Caenorhabditis elegans: one gene and its partner. The protein of the gene in region 1 purifies or fractionates together with the protein of each later gene. This does not show direct contact. Each region holds a gene or a part of one and is shown on either strand. Other genes may lie near its edges. The genes, in order: ads-1 and C32H11.4.

Evidence for each region.
Region 2: the proteins of ads-1 (region 1) and C32H11.4 fractionate together in Caenorhabditis elegans (co-fractionation; one large-scale study listed by BioGRID). This does not show direct contact.

Annotation. Positions count from the first base shown.
Region 1 is NC_003281.10:295,102-300,385, forward strand, and holds ads-1 (Alkyldihydroxyacetonephosphate synthase), read right to left. Parts: upstream 3,456-5,284; 5' UTR 3,431-3,455; coding exon 3,381-3,430; intron 3,331-3,380; coding exon 3,241-3,330; intron 2,792-3,240; coding exon 2,171-2,791; intron 2,108-2,170; exon of another isoform or gene 2,015-2,107; intron 1,745-2,014; coding exon 1,174-1,744; intron 1,125-1,173; coding exon 873-1,124; intron 823-872; coding exon 613-822; 3' UTR 553-612; downstream 1-552. Other genes in the region: Y50D7A.1 (F-box domain-containing protein), read left to right, coding at 4,459-4,540, 4,585-4,900. UniProt on the Caenorhabditis elegans protein: Catalyzes the exchange of an acyl for a long-chain alkyl group and the formation of the ether bond in the biosynthesis of ether phospholipids.
Region 2 is NC_003282.8:12,919,435-12,923,880, reverse strand, and holds C32H11.4 (CUB-like domain-containing protein), read right to left. Parts: upstream 2,618-4,446; 5' UTR 2,562-2,617; coding exon 2,495-2,561; intron 2,445-2,494; coding exon 2,216-2,444; intron 2,170-2,215; coding exon 2,060-2,169; intron 1,500-2,059; coding exon 1,301-1,499; intron 1,252-1,300; coding exon 1,136-1,251; intron 1,086-1,135; coding exon 937-1,085; intron 892-936; coding exon 830-891; intron 780-829; coding exon 671-779; 3' UTR 585-670; downstream 1-584. Other genes in the region: srlf-4 (SXP/RAL-2 family protein Ani s 5-like cation-binding domain-containing protein), read left to right, coding at 1-231; C32H11.3 (CUB-like domain-containing protein), read right to left, coding at 3,661-3,769, 3,822-3,883, 3,931-4,082, 4,362-4,446.

The DNA of each region.
Region 1 (5,284 bases):
ACGTTCTTCCCAGCGAAATCATTATGAGAACTCTGCGTCTCAAGCCCAAAGTTTTTTGTAGATATCCGTTGATCAAACCGAAATGGGACACTCTGACACCACGTGGACGTTCACACGTCCGATTGTCTCATTTTGGTTTGATCTACGTTGATCTTCAAGAAAGACGGGAGAAGAAATGCAGTTGACTTCTCAACTGATTTCGCATGGTTAAGAGCTTACGTCACATTTTTTTTTGGCAAAAAATTTACGCATTTTTTGTAGATCAAACCGCAATGGGACAGCCTGACACCACATGCGTTCAGAAGTCAAAAGTTGAGCTTCTAAACTGTGATTTTAAAGGAGTTAGAGCTAAATTAGAGCAAAGTTGAGCTGTTGAACGAAATGTTGAGGATCCAAACCAAATTTAGAAGTTCCTAGCTAAAATTAGAGCATCGAAATTCAATTCGGCAGGCGAAATACTAGTTTTTCTACAAAAATTGAATTTTCTGAGCTTTTGAGCTAGATTCCGGCATCTGAGCCAATTTTTGAGCTTCTGAACGATTATTTTTTCAAAAAAGTTTATTTCTTCAAGTTTCAAAATCCAATAATAATAAAAAACGAAACAATGATTATCTACAACTTGCAATGCGGTGATCCAATAATATCAATTAAGTTAGCACTGGCGAAGATGTTCGCCGGATCCAGCTCACTCTTGATAGCCTTCAACAACGCAATTCCGACTGCTCCGTTCGTGGTCAGCATCCATTGTTTTCTGATCTTTCCGACTCCGTGGTGATGTGAGATGCTTCCACCGCAAGCGATGATCTCGTCACGGGCGGCTGTCTGGAAATAAGGGCAATTCCGAGATCAGGGGCGTTTTATCGAAAGCTTACCTCAATACGATCATAAACTTCTAGGCCATTTTTCAATCCTCTGGCGTTGAATCCGAAATAGAAGTACACACAGGCTCCGGCATCGTAAACCTGGGTGACTCTGCAGTTCGCTAAAACTGGATGCGTGACTCCCTGAGCTTTTGCCTCGCGTTTCATCAGCTCCTTGACATTCCTGCAAAGGCTGAGAACCTTATCCCATGGAACTGAGGTTTCGAACGACTCGCCGAGCACACCATGGTTCATTCCAAGGTCCTGAAACGATTTAATTCAAAATTTGATCTACCCGTCGGCTCCAACTCACTCTCAAGTAGGCGATAGCAAAAGTAAGCCGATATCCATATTGACCATTCTCGGCGCCTCCGACAACTCCGTGGAACTGCTCGGCCAATTTATTCAGCCTCTCCTCATGCTGATCGACTTCTTCGCGATTTCCCTCATAGACACACGTGGCCGCACAAATCTCGTCGACCTTGAAACCCTTCCACGATGTGATGTACATCTTGCTCACGGAGCTCTTCAAGTCAGCCCACCAAGAATCTGAAGCCACCTTCAACGCTTGTCCCATAACGAATTGATCGTTGTCCATAAGACGAAGGGATGCTGGTTGACAGCGTTGAATGGCAACCTCGCGGAAGAAGTTGACTCCGCTCTCGAAGTTCGGGAACACGAAGCTTCCGAATCTCTTGACCTCTGGGATTGGGAAGATCTTGATTGTGACTTCGGACACCACTCCCAACGTTCCCTCGGACCCCAGAATGATTTGATGGATGTCTGGTCCGGATGACATTCTTGGGACTTGGCATTGCTTCTGGATGATTCCTTTTGGACAGACGAAGTTCAGATGGACGACGAGGTCTTCGATGTTTCCGTATCTGGAATTTGTTGTAAATTTGTACAGTATTATCGAAAAAATACGATCGCACAAATTTCTCATAATTCATTTTTGATCTACCTGTTGAACTTGACTCCGCCCCCCCCCCCCCAAACTTGTTGCCGTTGTTATTTTGTTATGGCTGTCTTGTCGAAGGAAGGGGCGGAGTCAAGTTCAACAGGTAGATCAAAAATAAATTATGAGAAAATTGTGCGATCGTATTTTTTCGATAACACGAAAGGAATTAACCCGAAATTTTGTGGTTTTTATGCCAAAAATACCATCGTGTCAAAACTGGAGTACCGTATTTGCGGACAGCAATACAGAAATTCGGGAAATCTTTGAGTTTTTCAACCGAAAATAGACAAAAATTCGAGTTTTTTGCTTGTTTTTTGAGTTTACAACTTGAAAAATCATAATAACCAACTTGTTCTTCTTCATTCCACTGGCTCTAGTCGAAACCCATCCTCCGAGAGTAGAAAATTCGATGGAATCCGGTTCATGTCCACATGTGAATCCCTTCTTGTTCAACTGACGCTCCAACGATTGCCCGACAATTCCAGCTTGAGCTCGGCAAGTCAAATTCTCTCGATCAATCCAGAGAATCTTGTCAAGAAGTGCCATATCCATAGAGATCACAGCTCGTTTTTCGGTTTCTGGGGTATCCAGAGCGTTTGTGACAGAGGTACCACCTCCGATTGGGATGATCGCGCAGTTATGGCTCATTGCTCCTTCGATGATCTTAACAATCTCATGCTCGCTTTTCGGCCAGACAACGATATCCGGAAGTCTCGGGATCTTTCCCTCTCTCAAATTGATCATGTCGTGAACTGTATGCCCATGACCTCTCATCAATCTGATTCTTGCCTCATTCGAGAAGGAAATCTTGTTTTCCTGCAGGAACTCAATGATATCCTCATTTTCGACAGGGGCATCGATGATCACGTCCGAAAGCTTCTGGGCTGGGCTTACGAAGCCTAGATCGATGCCCAAGTAGTTCTCGAACCACGGGCGGAAGTGTGGCATCACTTTTCCGGAGATTTCGTATCTGGAATTAGAAATTGATACACTCAAAATAAAAAAAAACTGCGTGGCGTGTACGCAGAAAACTCGAAAATTAGGCCCCGTCTTTTTCTCGTCTACTCACGGGAAAAGGCAAAATTCGGGACCAACCAATATCAGGCCGCCGACATCTGACGAGTTCCGCGCGCCGCTGCGCTTAACTCGCTATGGGCGTGGCGAGCTGTCTCCGCCCGCTGCGAGTTAAACATAGCAGCGCGCGGAATCCGTGAGATGTCGGCGGCCCGATATTGGTTGGGGTCCCGAATTTTGCCTTTTCCCCGTGAGTAGACGAGAAAAAGGCGGGGCCTAAATTTTGGGTTTTCTGCGTACACGCCACGCAGTTGTTTTTTATTTTTAGTGTAAGTTGGAGCTTGAAAATTCAACAAGTTCAGCCAACTCCCGGCTTAAATCTGCTCAAATCCCTTGAAATCTCACTTATCCCCGGTAAAAGTGACATGTCCGTCCTTGTTAATCGCAAACTGTGAATCGCTGTACCCCCAGCCATTCCACTTGAGGATTTTGTCGCTGTAAATTGAAATGCTTCAAAAAAAAAGAGTGACAGTGTAGGAGGTTACCGATAAGATTGCGGCACGTCGTGCTCGATTGTTTGATAGGACGCCGACATTTATTGCAAGTCGAGTGGCGAAGATCTGAATCGAACCGAGATCGTGAATTTCTGAGTTCGTGGGAAGTGGGGTTTCATACGGAACCTAAGTACAATCACGAGAAGCTTCAGGTGCTCAACCGATCATATGTTAGTTTAATCTTATCATGGTTGTGATTAAGTGTACCGGAGGCATGATGGTGGTCAACAATAGAATTTTCCATTTGATTCTCTAATTTTGTGGAAATTTTAGACTTGCAAAGCCTAAAAATACCTGAAAGCTTGGGAAAACTAGCTCTAGAAGGGGAAAAACTTCTACCTATAACGGAAAATAGGTAGCAATTTCAATTTTAAGCAGAAATACCAATTTGGCTGCTGTCAAAAGTTTGGAGACTGTGATGTCAGAGTGTCTCATTTCGGTTTGATCTACGTTGATCTACAAAAAAACGCGGGAGAATTGACGCAGAGTTCTCAACTTATTTGGCATGATTAAAAGCATGCTGACGTCACATTTTTTAGACAAAAAGTTCCCGCATTTTTTGTAGATCAAAACGTAATGGGACAGCCTGGCATCACCTGACGACTCCTAGAAACTGTGCGGAAAAAGTTGCCTTAATCGTTGAAAAGGCTTTAACTTAACATTTTGAGCATCAAAGCTTGAGACCTAACAAAATTTTTCAAAGAAAATGAGATTTTTTCTGAAAAAATAATCTTTGAACACAAAATTAGTCCAATTAGAGTTAGGCCAAAACTTAAAAAGAGAGAATTTTTCAACTGAAATTCAAAAATATTCAAAAATATTCAACAATAAACCCAAAATCAAATAAAAATCAATCAAACTCGCACTCCTCCGTACTTGCCTACAATAGAGCGTCGTGCAAGTGGTATATGTGTACACCTTATCACCTCTTTCTGTCTTCAAACCCCCCTCACTCACCCGCTTATCACCAACACAGACAAAGTACGCCAGCAGCAGATTAAAATCGTTTTCTTTTCCGCTTTCGAACAGGAATTGTCTTTCGGAAAAGCGAGAAGTTTCATATTTTCAGATCGAATCGCCGAGTTTGGTTATGAGAAATATTTTTTACGACTTCCGGAGCCAGCGCTGAACAAGGTTCTGCGATATTTGAGGTAGTCGGAAGCCCAGCTGCCAACTCCTAAATTCCAGATTCCAGATATCCCGACCTGCAAACCCTCAAATCGATATGCCCGGAGCTCACCGACTTGTGCGATTTACACGTGAAGCTCATGGATCACAGCGAGTTCTATACTCACCCTAAATTCCAGTTCGAGCGTTGCTCCCCGGATGATGAGGAGGAGGAGGTGGTGGCTGGAAGGATCAGAAGCCCCAGAACCTCATCGTCAAGTGGACAGCTGGACAAGGTTGCCGACGAGTTTGTGGTGAAGGATGTGGAGATCATGTCGGAGAGGCAGAACGCGTGTGCCACATATTTTGAGCCTACTAGATCGCTTTATCTGTTTGGTGGAGAGGTAAAATCGATGAAGATAGACAAACTTTGAGATTAAGCCGATTAAGCTTAGCGGCCTAAGCCTAAGGACTAAGCTTAAGGATCTAGGCTATTCCTAACGTTGGTTTAGCATTCTAAGCCTAAGGAGCTAAGGCTATGGACCTGCGGCTTAGAACCTAAGGACCCAAGACTATGGGCCTAACAAGGATCCTAGGAACTGTAGTCTCGGTACCTGAGCCTTTGGACCAAAGTCTAAGGAAATGAGGTAAACCTTAGGACCAGAGCCTATGAACCTGAACCTAATCAGCTAATCCTATTTTTCTAAGTCTGAGGAGCTAAGCCTTTGGCCTTGAGCCTATGGATCGAAGCTGTTTGTTCCAAGTTTTATTTTTAAGGGCTTCAGTGT
Region 2 (4,446 bases), on another chromosome or scaffold:
ACTCTTTCTCAAGTTGAAACCGCTTTGGAAGAACTCAAGGAAAAATTTAATTTGGAAGTTCAACTTATCCTTATTCTGTCAAAAACTCTCATTCTCAATGAGGAAATTGTGTTGGGCGGTGGACCGATTGAAGTTGGAAATGAGGTCACTGGAAACTCGTTCAGAAGAATGAGAGATTTCAAGAATAAAAATAGAGATGTGAAATCTCTCCTGATTCCAGGACCACTTTAAACAACTGCTTTCACGTTTTTTTGTTGGACTTTTACACTTTTTGTATATGTGGGAATAAATTATAATTTCTAATACACAGTATGAATTATGATTGTTTATTAAAATCAGATATCAAAGTTCAAACATATAAAAATAGTCAAATATTTCTGTAAAATACTGTTTGGAAGGCACAAGGTTGACTAATTCTATTCGAGGCAACCTACGTACCTATTGTTAAAACATAATTTTTATAATACAGAGCAACAGACATGTGCAGGTCAGGTTTGCAGGCAAGGTAGACCTACCTGTTTACTTTGGTAATCTTGCAAAAACAATGTACCAATATTCGAGCACTTTGGCTTATAAATTTTCGCTGATGGACTGCATAACTTTTATTTTAAAAAAACGAAAAAACTGTTTAATACGTCGATGGCAGTATACTTCCGTTTATGCTTTGAAATTATTGTGGAATATTAAAAGTAAGAGTAGCTTTGCCATTGCTAATGACGTATTGAGTTACATCTTCGCCGTAGAACGTGAGTGGAAGTTGCGAATTGATTGTTGAACCACTGAAAAGAACATAACATTTAGGAACTGTAAACCTTGCTAGCAGACGTACTTGTATGTTGAATCAAAGCCGAACGCAGTTTCAGATCCGTAGTAGACTTTCATTGTTGCACTCTGAAATTACGAGTTTAAAAATTAAAAATGATTTTAAAGGCATACCGGGTCCATTTTAATATCAACCAAAGTTTCGTTGCTTCGGGAGGCATATAAAGAAAGAACGGCAGATTTTCCATCACCACCATCAACAGAAGCGGAACATGTTGACACGCCGTAACAGTTAAGTTCGACGTAGTCAACAAAGTTTGCATCTGAAAACTTTAGATATAAAAAAAAGAGAAAAACGCCAAGAGTATCATACATTGTATATCTTGAACTAACAGAATGTCGGTTTTGTTGCTGGCCTCCAAGTTTACGATATAGACCATGCTGCCTTTAGAAACCCATTGCTGGTGCGTTTCATAGAGCGTGTACAAGCTGAAAATTGATTTTTTTTTTCTCAACATTTTTGTTTAAAAAAACTCACTTTGCAACAAAGTTTCCATTGTAATCTTGTCCCTCAAAAACAAGAGAGCTTCTCAGGGAATAATAGTCATTTGGATCGGCTGGAGAGACGAAAAGAGCAACTTTGTCTGAACTGAAATCGGCCGCAAACAGATCCTGTGTGATATTAAGGACATGTGGCTGCATTCCAATTCCGGCGATGTATGATATTTGGGTGGTATCTGGAATCTATTAAGGTTAAACATAAGATCACCCAGAGGGCATAAGAATTTGGGTGCGAAACCTCGGTGGGTTTTTACCACTTCTAAGGCGCTTTTTTGCGGATTGGTTACTTCCGGAACGACCGAATATCATATTAAAATACTCCAAAAAATTTTAGATTTTTCATAATTCCCGGTCAGTTTTGGCAGATTGCCAAAGTTTTGAAAAACATAAGTTTTTAAGGAAATCCAAAGCAGTATTGTATGTACCGACCCCTACAATGTTTCGATACAAATAATTTTTAAAAAATTACAGTATAAAAATGTAGGGAAAAAAAGTTGTTTTTGGTCGACTTCCGAAATTATGAAGGGTAAAAACTGGATAATTTTCACTTTTTGACAGTAAATAAACATTTTTCAAAAAACTTTTGAAAACTTTTATTGTGATATTCGGTCATTTTAGCACCATAGGAGTGGTTTTTATAACTTTCCCCACTGGCGCTGCTCCACCTCAATCAAAATTTGCCTGTTTTAAATTTTTTAGGGTAACCCCCAAATACTATTAAAACTTCCAAACTTACACGGAGCCCATTCAATTTTAAATGCAAACGTGGCAGCTGCTTCATTCGACACAACTAGAGTGAACTTTGGCGATGGGAAGTAATATGGATGCTTTGTCTCCAATTTTGTTCTGAAAACTTAATTTTCTCATATTCACAAACCGGGAAACCCCTTACTGAACAACGTTTCCAGTGCAGTCAACAGTTTGGAAGTATGAATGCTTATCACCCATTTTTCCACTAATCGTCAATTTTGCATAGTATCCTTGGGGAATAGTGACCATCCAGCTACACGATTGGTCCTTGGCAAGAGCCGGTGCCGCTTTGTCTTCTCTCCATGTAGCTGGAAAGTATACAGGCGTTCCATCGATTACTGGCTTGTGAACCACATTTCCAGTCTTGCAAGCTGGAAAAAAATGGATTTTTGAAAAAAAAGTCTGAAAATGAAGATCCTACTATTGCCAACAGCAGACACTACAGAAGCCAGGAGAGCTACAGATAGGAAAGTCGTAAGACTCGGCATTTCAAAGGACGGTGCAGCAGTACTTAATCGCGGCGGTTAAATACACAGACACATGATGATATTTAGAAGGGCGTGAAATTGATAAAGCAATCGGGAAATAGGAAATTGAATCTTAAAATCAGCACTTTTGGCTCCATAATGTCTCTGATAAGTTTTATTGGTTGAGGACTCAAGTTTAAAATTGCACATAGACAAGTGCGAAGATCAAACTAAATTTCAGCAGGAAGCATCCACTGCTCGTCTAGTCGAAAAATTATATTTCTGTTACGGATTATCTTGAAATGATCCTAGCGGCAGTTTTCTGACAACTGAATACTGCTGATTGCAGATTAAAAAGAAACTGAAAATGAGAAAAGACGTTTGCCAAAAAGTTGTTGCCAAATTCCACACAGCTCTTTTTCAGTGCCACCCGGATTAAGTGTAGTATAAGTAGTAAATGTAGTATTTGCTTTTGATTTTCCAAAGTTTAGTTCAAAAGTTTTCCTGACATCACTTTTCATCGACAATTATCATCGTTATTGCACGCCACTAATGGTAAAATCATCATTCACGGCGAGGCGATACTTCGTAAGACAATTAAAGTCTTGCTGATAACGGAAAAAATCAAAAAGTCACATATTTACAAAGTTCAAGAGCAGTTTTAGCAATTTTATTAAAACATTTTCTAAAATTTTTTAAAATGTTCCAAAAGTGTTTCAAATATAAAATAGATTTAGGTGTCATAATCCTGCCAAACTATTTAACACAACAAAAATCTCACGAATAAAAGTCTCTCAGCCGATTGGCTCGTTTTAGCTGTATTGGTTCTATCAAGGTGCATGAGCATCATTTTTCCATTTTCCCCTAATATATAAATTTTATTATACGTATGCAGTAGTTCTTTACTTTTGTGATTAGCAAACAGATGAATATTCATATAAACTAACTGTTTTGGATACTTGCATATTCTATGGTCGCTGCACTTTGCTCTAACCAATCAACCAACCAACCCATCATTATTTTACCTCCATTATACGATTTTATTGGAATTCCTCTTTTGTATCAATAACACAAAGACTCATGAAATGCTTTATTAATTCGAATAAATATCGTTTGTTGGTTATTGTGGAATATTAAAAGTAAGAGTAGCTTTTCCATTGCTGATAACATATTGAGTAACATAACTGCCGTAGAACGTGAGTGGAAGAAGCGAATTGATTGTTGAACCACTAAAAATAAATGATTTTTTGAGATCAGTAAGGAAGTAAGGAGTAAACATACTTGTAAGTTGAATCAAATGCAAACGCAGTCTCAGATCCATAATAGACTTTCATTGTTGCACTCTGGAATTTTTAAAAATGATGAACTGAACTACTGTTTCATGAAATACCGGATCCATTCGAATATCCACCAGGGTTTCATTGTTTTGTGAGACAAGAACCGAAGCAATTGCAGATTTTTTGTTTCCTCCGTCAACTGTCGCAATGCAAGTGGTACTGCCACCACAGTTTAGCTGGACGTAATCGGCATAATCTCGGGTGTCTGAAAACAATAAATGCGAATATTTTTAACTTTACGCCTACGCCACGACTTTCGTAACCACATCAAACATTCACATTAACTTTGCAATGCTTTCACAGTATTTTTAACCAAATTCTATGTATGAAGAAAACATTCGTGACCCTTATTTTATAATATGTGTAATATACTCTTTGAAAGACGCAGGCTGCAAACGATATATCTCGGACTACTATGGTGCGGTTACTGTAGTTGTTTTACCAAAACAATAGGGACACTGGTTGTAAATAAAAATATGCTTACATTGTGCATCTTGGATCAAAAGTGTATCCAGTTTATTACTGGCTTCCAAATTGATCACATAAATTGTTTGCTTTGAAGAAATCCA